Canis lupus familiaris: one gene and its partner. The protein of the gene in region 2 purifies or fractionates together with the protein of the main gene of each other region. This does not show direct contact. Links are inferred from orthologs where the notes say so. Each region holds a gene or a part of one and is shown on either strand. Other genes may lie near its edges.

What was found.
Region 1: the proteins of IRF2BPL (region 2) and VGLL4 purify together in Homo sapiens (affinity purification with mass spectrometry; 3 studies listed by BioGRID and IntAct, counting the BioPlex papers as one, with this or other methods). This does not show direct contact. The link is inferred for Canis lupus familiaris from reciprocal best matches to the Homo sapiens genes IRF2BPL and VGLL4.

What each region holds. Positions count from the first base shown.
Region 1 is NC_049241.1:6,902,966-6,907,292, forward strand, and holds the start of VGLL4 (transcription cofactor vestigial-like protein 4), read left to right. Parts: upstream 1-1,419; 5' UTR 1,420-2,058; coding exon 2,059-2,140; intron 2,141-4,327. UniProt on the Homo sapiens protein: May act as a specific coactivator for the mammalian TEFs.
Region 2 is NC_049229.1:50,180,080-50,184,498, reverse strand, and holds the start of IRF2BPL (probable E3 ubiquitin-protein ligase IRF2BPL), read left to right. Parts: upstream 1-1,483; 5' UTR 1,484-1,822; coding exon 1,823-4,183; 3' UTR 4,184-4,419. UniProt on the Homo sapiens protein: Probable E3 ubiquitin protein ligase involved in the proteasome-mediated ubiquitin-dependent degradation of target proteins. Through the degradation of CTNNB1, functions downstream of FOXF2 to negatively regulate the Wnt signaling pathway.

The DNA of each region.
Region 1 (4,327 bases), on a different chromosome or scaffold from region 2:
GTAACCCAATGTTAATAGATACCCTTATAAATGAAAGCTTGTGAAATCTTGATTTTTCTGTTGCCTACTTCACCCGCTGCTATCCAGTGATAGCAGTAGTATTGGGTGTTTTGTTAATCTTCTAATAAGATTTGATTAGAACAATTTGCTGTGAACATCTGTCATCCAAAATGCAACTACTGATGGATTTTAAAAATCCCCTGAAATTATTTATTCAGCTCTGTAGAATATTAAAATTTCAGGTCTTGATCTACAGTATGACACTCCTTGATATTTTCTAAATCTCCAAATAGCATATATTCATATCAATACACAGACACTTCCTGTGGTGAATTATTAGTCAATTTATGGTGCCAAAAGCTAGCTACAGCCTGCTAAGATAAAACAATTTCCTCCCTCTGTTTGCTAGTGTGCTCTTTGTGCGCTTAAAGGCTCTGGACATTCAGTGATGTACTCATCAGTAAACAGCTTTTGGGTACCTACTTGTACTAGATACTGGAGATACGAAGTTTAAGGGTTTTATTTTTTATTTTTTTATTTTTATTTTTTAAAGATTTATTTATTTATTTATGATAGAGAGAGAGAGAGAGAGGCAGAGACACAGGAGGAGGGAGAAGCAGGCTTCATGCCAGGAGCCCGATGTGGGACTCGAACCCGGGACTCCAGGATCGCACCCTGGGCCAAAAAGGCAGGTGCTAAACTGCTGAGCCACCCAGGATCCCCAGTTTAACAGTATAGGAACAGCATAGCAACATGCTACTGGCCCCTAATAAATAGATGAAACAGCTTTCATATGTGCCGAATGAAAATGCCTTTATTCTCCTCATGACCCGTCATTTCAAATAGGCTTTTGGTCTTCCTTGCTTAAACCACTTTCTCTGTTTTCTCTTTTTTCTCTCTTTCCCTCCTTTTTTTCTTTAAGGAAAATTATTAGGGGAAAAAATACCCTAAAAGTAGTTTTACCAACTATTTTGGGGTCCTGGGTCAGTCATTTAATCCCTCTGAGCCTCAGTTTTCTCTGCTGTAAAAAAGTGATACCAAAAAAAAAAAAAAAAAAAAAGTGATACCATCTCCGCCCGGTTCATGTCATGAGGAGCAGGAGAGAAGTTCTATGTAACATTCAGATCAAAATTTGAAACATACAGCCCGAAGTGTAGAAGTGTAAAAGGACATCGTAAACCAATTTTTAAAAGAAACAAAAAACCTTCCAAATAACGCATGGTATATGTACCACGGCAAACGCAGCAGCCTGGGTTCCCGAATCCCCACAGTGAAGACCCAGCCAAGGTTAAATTCTGTGGAAGTTTGCTTCCATGATGGATTTTTTTTTTTTTTACTTTTTTACTCAGCTCCCGAAAAAGAAACTTCCTGGGTTTTCTCTCCCTCCTAGGGTTCTTGCAGTGGCAGGGCTGCTTCCTGTCCAGAGCAGCTCTGCCCCGGCCCCTCTGTTCAGACTCTCCACCTCCTCTTTCTCTTTCTTTCAAGCACTTAATGCATTTAGAGACTGATCTTGTGCAGAAAATATCCCTGACATTTGAGGAGCTGCGGGGCGCAGTGAGCATGCTCCGTGGCCCTCGGCGGGGAGAGGAAGCTCGCTCGCATTCGAGTCATACCGAGCATAGCCAGCATGTCAGCGCGGTTCCCTTGCAGCGGGCTGTGAGGAGGGCGAGCGCGGCTTTGTCCGAGGAAATGTGCTTCGTGGTCTTCGTCTTCACCCCTTTTCTACTGCGAAGAAAGACCTGCAAAGACTTCCGAAACGGTTTTTAAGTGCTCCATCGAGGATACAAAACCTATACTGTCTACAAATAAACCCTCCAAGGGTTTCCGTGTGACTTTGATTTTTTTGGTGGCGTGTTTTTGTTTTCTCTTTTCTTTCTTTCTTTCTTTCTTTTTTTTTTTTTTTACTTTTACATACTTTGTTTTGATCGTCTGAGGCTGGGCCTCGCTGTCTTTGTGAAGTTTGAGAAGAGCCAGGAGCTACTCAGTAATAATTGATTTTTGAAACCTACTCTTTGGGGGCGGAAAGCAAAGAGCTGGTTTTCTGTGCTAGCCCAATAAATGCTATTTATGAAGATGGACCTGTTGAACTACCAGTACTTGGACAAGATGAACAACAATATCGGCATTCTGTGCTACGAAGGTAGAGGTTCTGTTCTAGAAATTGCTCTCCTATTGCTTTTGTTAAGGCCACTCCTCCTTTAGGGTTCTGAATGCCTTCTGTGTATTTTGCTCTCTTTCTTGGGATTTTAGGGTGCTTTGAAAGGCGAGTATTTATTATGCACTATTTTCAATACAAAGTTTGCTGTTTCTATCTTAGCTTTCAGGGTTACAGTGGGGGAGGGAAGGCAGTGAAATATAAACTGTTAAAAGTTTCCCTTTTGCTTGCAACATTAACTCTTCAAAATTTTTAACTCTTGATAATATGATTATTTTTGTTTTCTGCTGGTGCTCTCTTTAGAGGAAGAACTTCTAGGACCAGGAAAAGTTAAACGAGTTGGTCACCTCCCCCACCCCCAGCTCTGATACTTATTTTAAACATACACTATCTACAGTATTCATGTTGTATTCCAGTCAGTGCTTTGGATTTTCATGTAGAGGGGAACAGAAAGTTACAGTGAGTTTTTGTTTTCAGGAGCTATTGTCCCAAACAATGAAGAATTTTTCTATTCAGTTTGGGGGACTGGAAGGGCACCCATGTCACAAAGCACAGACTGGCTCTTTGTCTGATTTCCCATTTCCTGTACTGCTCTAGAGAGTTCTGACATTGAAGGATGTTCCCTCCACACTCCGGTCCCTTGTGGAAGTGATTGCACAACACACCAACCAGAAAGCTAAATTGAAAGAGAGAAAGAAAGAAAGAAACCTACTCAGAATTCTTCTTGTTTATCACCTCCTGCTAAACTGTGAGGTGTTTCCCCACCGCCTTGTAGCATTTCAAGCTGCCCCTGTTGGTAGGAAGAAGAGAAAAAGCGATTTCTTGATCTGTTGGAACATTATCTACGTGCAATTTGAAAAAGTGGAAATGGCCTGGGTTTGAGTGGCCGGAGAGGCATCTGCGGGGGAATTCAGCTTGGCAGGAGGGGCGTTTTTTGTTGTAACCAAATACAAATCGAGGAGGAGACATCTCCTTTCTGATTCAGTAGGAGTTTCCATGTTTTCCCTTAATAGTGAACTGAACGTTTCTTTTGAAAAAGAAAACATTGAGGAAACTTGTATTTTTCATGTAAAATTTCAGGCCTGTTACCTAGTCAGTTGAAAACTTACCCTTTCCCCTTCAAGGAACATAAAATCTCATTCATACTGTTTTTTATTTCACTCAGGATAAGGATCTCATACTTAAAATTTTTTCTAAAAAGTTATACGTATTTAAACTCCTGCTTGTTCCACTAATGAGAATTTTGGTGTTTGCTTTCTTTGAATCTGCTGTTTTTAACTATCGTGTTACTTCTGAAATCACTCATTTTAAAAAAGGCAGACTTCTTCAGGGTGGTGGAAGTAGCGAGTGACTGGGCTCATTTCTTGTGAAATTAATATACTGCAGTTTTTAAAAACATCTTTTTTTTCAGTGATCAAGAAATCACAAAGTCTTAAGGCAATATCTGGTGGCTTGTCTTTGTCATTGTGTAATATGATATTCTCAAACCAAACCAAAACAAAATAAAACATAACGATCCGCTTAAGAGAGGGATAGAGGGATTGCTAGGAAATTGATACCACATTACTTTTTTATGTCTTTAGTTGGGGGTGGTGAGGAAAGGCTTACGGAAAGCTCCACCAGGTTGATTTGTTGTTCTGTAGTCTGTAATATACTTGAGAGTAGTCTGCTTGAAGCTTCCCTCTTTTGGGGGGAGGAAGAAACTTTGATTTTGAAAGTTGAGTAGATATGTAGGATGATTTGCTATAGTTTGTTTGGTTTAAACATCTGCTGCTATTTTCCTTACTACGAAAGTTAACGTTATATTAACACCAAAATAAATACACAGGAAATGAAGAAAAGCACAGCAAAACTTGAGTGGTGTTTTTAGTGGGTTGTTTATGTACTGGTGGTTTTCTTAGTATAAACACTGCACACATCTGCTCTGAACTCAAAAGGGTGTTTTGAGGATGGGCATAAATCTCAGATGGGAATTTTTTTTTTTTTTGGTAAGAAAAGTTGGAACCATTGCTATTTCTTTAAATCCAGTACTTTGGAAATATTCATATTAAACATAGCAGCTCACCAGCATTCCAGGGAAGTTATTTGGAAAATGGAATGTACAGTTGGTGTAGGCAGCATTTGATTTCATTTACGGCACAGGCAGGTTTTACATCTCTTAAGAATAAGGGG
Region 2 (4,419 bases):
AAATCATGGCCTTGCTCAGCCTTCTGGGGCACTGTGGAATGAAATCACAGCACGTGAGAAAGAATTTTGAAAGCTGCCACTGCGCTTTACAAAGAGATAGCAAAATCATTAAACGCTGCCCCACCTTCTTTTATCAAACCCGGAAAAACCACTCACCTGTTTGGCCTCTCCAGCACCTTCCCCCCTCCCTGCCCCAACTGCAGCTGTGCGCAGCCAGTAGACTGTTTTCCTTAAAGGCCTCCGGGTGCTCGTAGCTTCTTTCAGCCAAAATTTTTAGAATGCGACTGGGGGGGGGAGGAGTAGCTCACCCTGAATTCATTTAGCTCTGTCGTTGAAACTCAGGTTCCTAGACCAGAGGCACAAAAACAAATCGAAAAGGCAGTTTCTGGGCAAATGGAAAACAGCTAATTTTGCAGGTGCTTTGGCATCGGTGGTAGCAAGTGAACGTAACATCCATACGGGGTGGGGCGGGGCGGGGGGGGATGATTTGATTACAGATAAAACGAGAATGAGATTCGCGACGAAAATCCTGAAACTGGACATTTAAATGCACTGCCCGGGGTGGGGTGGGGAGCGGGATCGGAAATGACGCTTGTGGTTTTCAAATGCGTTTTTACTTGGGAAAGCCGGGCGGGGAAAGGAAAGGTCATCGTCTGTTTAATTTCCACCCCCAGCCCAGGACGTCCAGCATTAGCTCGCCGGGCCTCAGCTGTTGTACACACACGGGGAGGGGGGAGGGGAAGGCGGAGGCGCGGAGGCGGGGCCGCCGGGGAGGAATCTGGGCGCCCTGCCGCGCATGCGCCCTCCCCGAGCAACAAGTGGCTCCACAGACAGAGGAAGTGTAAAGGGGAGGGAGGGGGGAGAAGTGGTGCAGAGCATGGCGGTGACGTCAGCGCTCCGCCCGGGCGGCATCCCGCGCGGCCAAGCCGGGGACAGCGCGAGCCGCAGCGCGAGCGGGAGCGCCGAGACGCGCCTCCGGAACGTAGAGTAACAATCACAACCCCACATTCCGGGCGAGTGCGAGCGGGAAGGGATGCGACCCGGGCCGAGGCGCCGCGCGAGCGCCCTGCAGCCAACGTGAGCGCCGCCAGCCGCGGCGGCCGGGGCGCCGGCCGGGCCTGGGGGCGGCGGGAGCCTGCGTGCGTGCGCTCCTCTCCTCTGCTCTCGTGCGTCCTGGAAGCGGTGGCCGCGGCGGCTCCCTCCGGCCGTGCAAACCCAGCCGCCGCCAGCGGAACGGCCGACGCTGCGGAGGGGAGAAGCTCCTCTCGGCGGCCACCCCCTCCCTCCCCCGGCGACTTCAGCAAGATTGGACCCGGGCACCGGGTGGCACTGAGCCCTCTAGCCTTCGCCCCAGTGAGCCTGGCGGGGAGAGGACGCAGCTCGTAGGGGGGCCCCCAGGGAGAGGAAGAGACCACCCCTTTCGAGCTTCCAGGCACCAGCCACTCCGGGGAGGGGGCCAAGAGCCCACGGCGGCCAGCACCCGGCACCCTCGCCCCCTCCCCTCGGGCCCGGAGCTCGCAGCCCGGGTCCGCGGCACCAGGAAGAAGGCGCCCGAGCTCCCCTCCCGACGACACAGCCGCAGTAGGAGGTGGGGGCGACGAGCGGGCAGCACTCGTCCGCCGCCCCGGCGGTGGAGCCCCCACGGAGAGGCGCTGCGCCGGCGGTGGAGACTCGCGCTCCCTCCAGCCCCTGGGGCAGAACTTTCTCGCCCCCCCTTCCTCCCCCGCAGCCGGACTCCCTCCCCAGCCGGCCAGTCCTCCCGGAGGAGAAGGCGCCGCGGAGACAGCCTGGGCGGGGGCCTACCTTCCCCAGGGCGGGCATCATGTCGGCGGCGCAGGTGTCCTCGTCCCGGAGACAGTCTTGCTACCTGTGCGACCTGCCCCGCATGCCCTGGGCCATGATCTGGGACTTCTCGGAACCCGTATGCCGCGGTTGCGTCAACTACGAGGGCGCCGATCGCATCGAGTTCGTGATCGAGACGGCGCGCCAGCTGAAGCGGGCGCACGGCTGCTTTCAGGACGGCCGCTCCCCCGGGCCGCCGCCGCCCGTCGGGGTCAAGACGGTGGCCCTGTCGGCTAAGGAGGCGGCGGCCGCGGCGGCGGCGGCGGCGGCGGCCGCGCAGCAGCAGCAGCAGCAGCAGCAGCAACAGCAGCAGCAGCAGCAGCAGCAGCTCAACCACGTCGACGGTTCCAGCAAGCCTGCGGTGCTGGCGGCCCCGTCCGGCCTGGAGCGCTACGGCCTGAGCGCTGCCGCCGCCGCCGCCGCCGCCGCCGCCGCCGCCGCCGTGGAGCAGCGCAGCCGCTTCGAGTACCCGCCGCCGCCGGTGAGCCTGGGGAGCAGCAGCCACGCCGCGCGGCTGCCCAACGGGCTGGGGGGCCCCAACGGCTTCCCCAAGCCGACACCGGAGGAGGGACCCCCGGAGCTGAACCGCCAGAGCCCCAACTCCTCTTCTGCCGCGGCGTCGGTGGCGTCTCGGCGCGGGACGCACGGTGGGCTAGTGACGGGGCTGCCCAACCCGGGGGGTGGTGGAGGCCCCCAGCTCGCGGTGCCCCCCAACCTGCTGCCGCAGACGCTACTTAACGGCCCGGCCAGCGCCGCGGTGCTGCCCCCGCCGCCGCCCCACGGCCTCGGCAGCCGTGGGCCCCCGACGCCCGCGCCCCCAGGGGCACCCGGGGGCCCCGCTTGTCTTGGGGGCGCCCCGGGCGTCTCGGCCGCGTCGTCCTCGGCGTCGTCTTCGACCTCGTCGTCGGTGGCGGAGGTGGGGGTGGGTGCTGGCGGCAAAAGGCCCGGCTCGGTGTCGAGCACCGACCAGGAGCGCGAGCTGAAGGAGAAGCAGCGCAACGCCGAGGCCCTGGCCGAGCTGAGCGAGAGCCTGCGCAACCGCGCGGAGGAGTGGGCCAACAAGCCCAAGATGGTCCGCGACACGCTGCTCACGCTGGCTGGCTGCACGCCCTACGAGGTGCGTTTCAAGAAGGACCACTCGCTGCTGGGCCGCGTCTTCGCCTTCGACGCCGTCTCCAAGCCCGGCATGGACTACGAGCTGAAGCTGTTCATCGAGTACCCCACGGGCTCCGGCAACGTGTACTCCAGCGCGTCCGGTGTGGCCAAGCAGATGTACCAGGACTGTATGAAGGACTTCGGCCGGGGTCTCTCCTCCGGCTTCAAGTACCTGGAGTACGAGAAGAAGCACGGCTCCGGGGACTGGCGCCTCCTGGGAGACCTGCTGCCCGAGGCCGTGCGCTTCTTCAAGGAGGGCGTGCCCGGCGCCGACATGCTGCCCCAGCCCTACCTGGACGCCAGCTGCCCCATGCTGCCCACGGCCCTGGTGAGTCTGAGCCGCGCCCCCAGCGCGCCCCCGGGCACCGGGGCCCTGCCGCCCGCCGCCCCTTCGGGCCGGGGCACCGCCGCCAGTCTCCGCAAGAGGAAGGCGTCCCCCGAGCCCCCGGACTCCGCCGAGGGCGCCCTAAAACTGGGCGAGGAGCAGCAGAGGCAGCAGTGGATGGCGAACCAGAGCGAGGCACTGAAGCTCACCATGTCGGCCGGCGGCTTCGCGGCGCCGGGGCACGCCGCCGGGGGTCCGCCCCCCCCGCCCCCGCCCCTGGGACCCCATTCCAACCGGACCACCCCGCCCGAGTCAGCCCCTCAGAACGGCCCGTCCCCCATGGCCGCCCTCATGTCGGTGGCAGACACTCTGGGCACGGCGCACTCGCCGAAGGACGGCAGCTCCGTGCACTCCACCACTGCGTCCGCCAGGCGCAACAGCAGCAGCCCGGTGTCACCGGCCTCCGTGCCCGGGCAGCGCCGCTTGGCATCACGGAACGGGGACCTGAATTTACAGGTGGCGCCCCCGCCGCCTAGCACCCACCCGGGCATGGACCAAGTGCACCCCCAAAACATTCCGGATTCCCCTATGGCCAACAGCGGGCCCCTCTGCTGTACCATTTGCCACGAACGTTTGGAGGACACGCATTTCGTTCAGTGCCCATCCGTCCCCAGCCACAAATTCTGCTTCCCTTGCTCTAGAGAGAGTATCAAGGCCCAGGGGGCCACCGGCGAGGTGTACTGCCCCAGCGGAGAGAAATGCCCCCTGGTTGGGTCGAATGTACCTTGGGCCTTCATGCAGGGCGAAATCGCGACGATCTTAGCTGGAGATGTTAAAGTGAAAAAGGAGAGAGACCCTTGAACCACAAGACGGCCACCTCCTCTGCCCCTGACCAGCTCCTCTCCGATCCAGAGGGCCCCTCCCCCACCCACAGCGACCCTCCCTCCCCTTGCCCCTAAGATGTAGAATTGTGAATATAACAAACTGCAAAAAGTTAGTCTTATGTATAGACATTATTTTCGTCGTATGTTTCTATATTTTGAAACAAAAGGTATGTAACTTCTTCATTTGAAGGATAAGCTGGTTTGTGTTAAGCA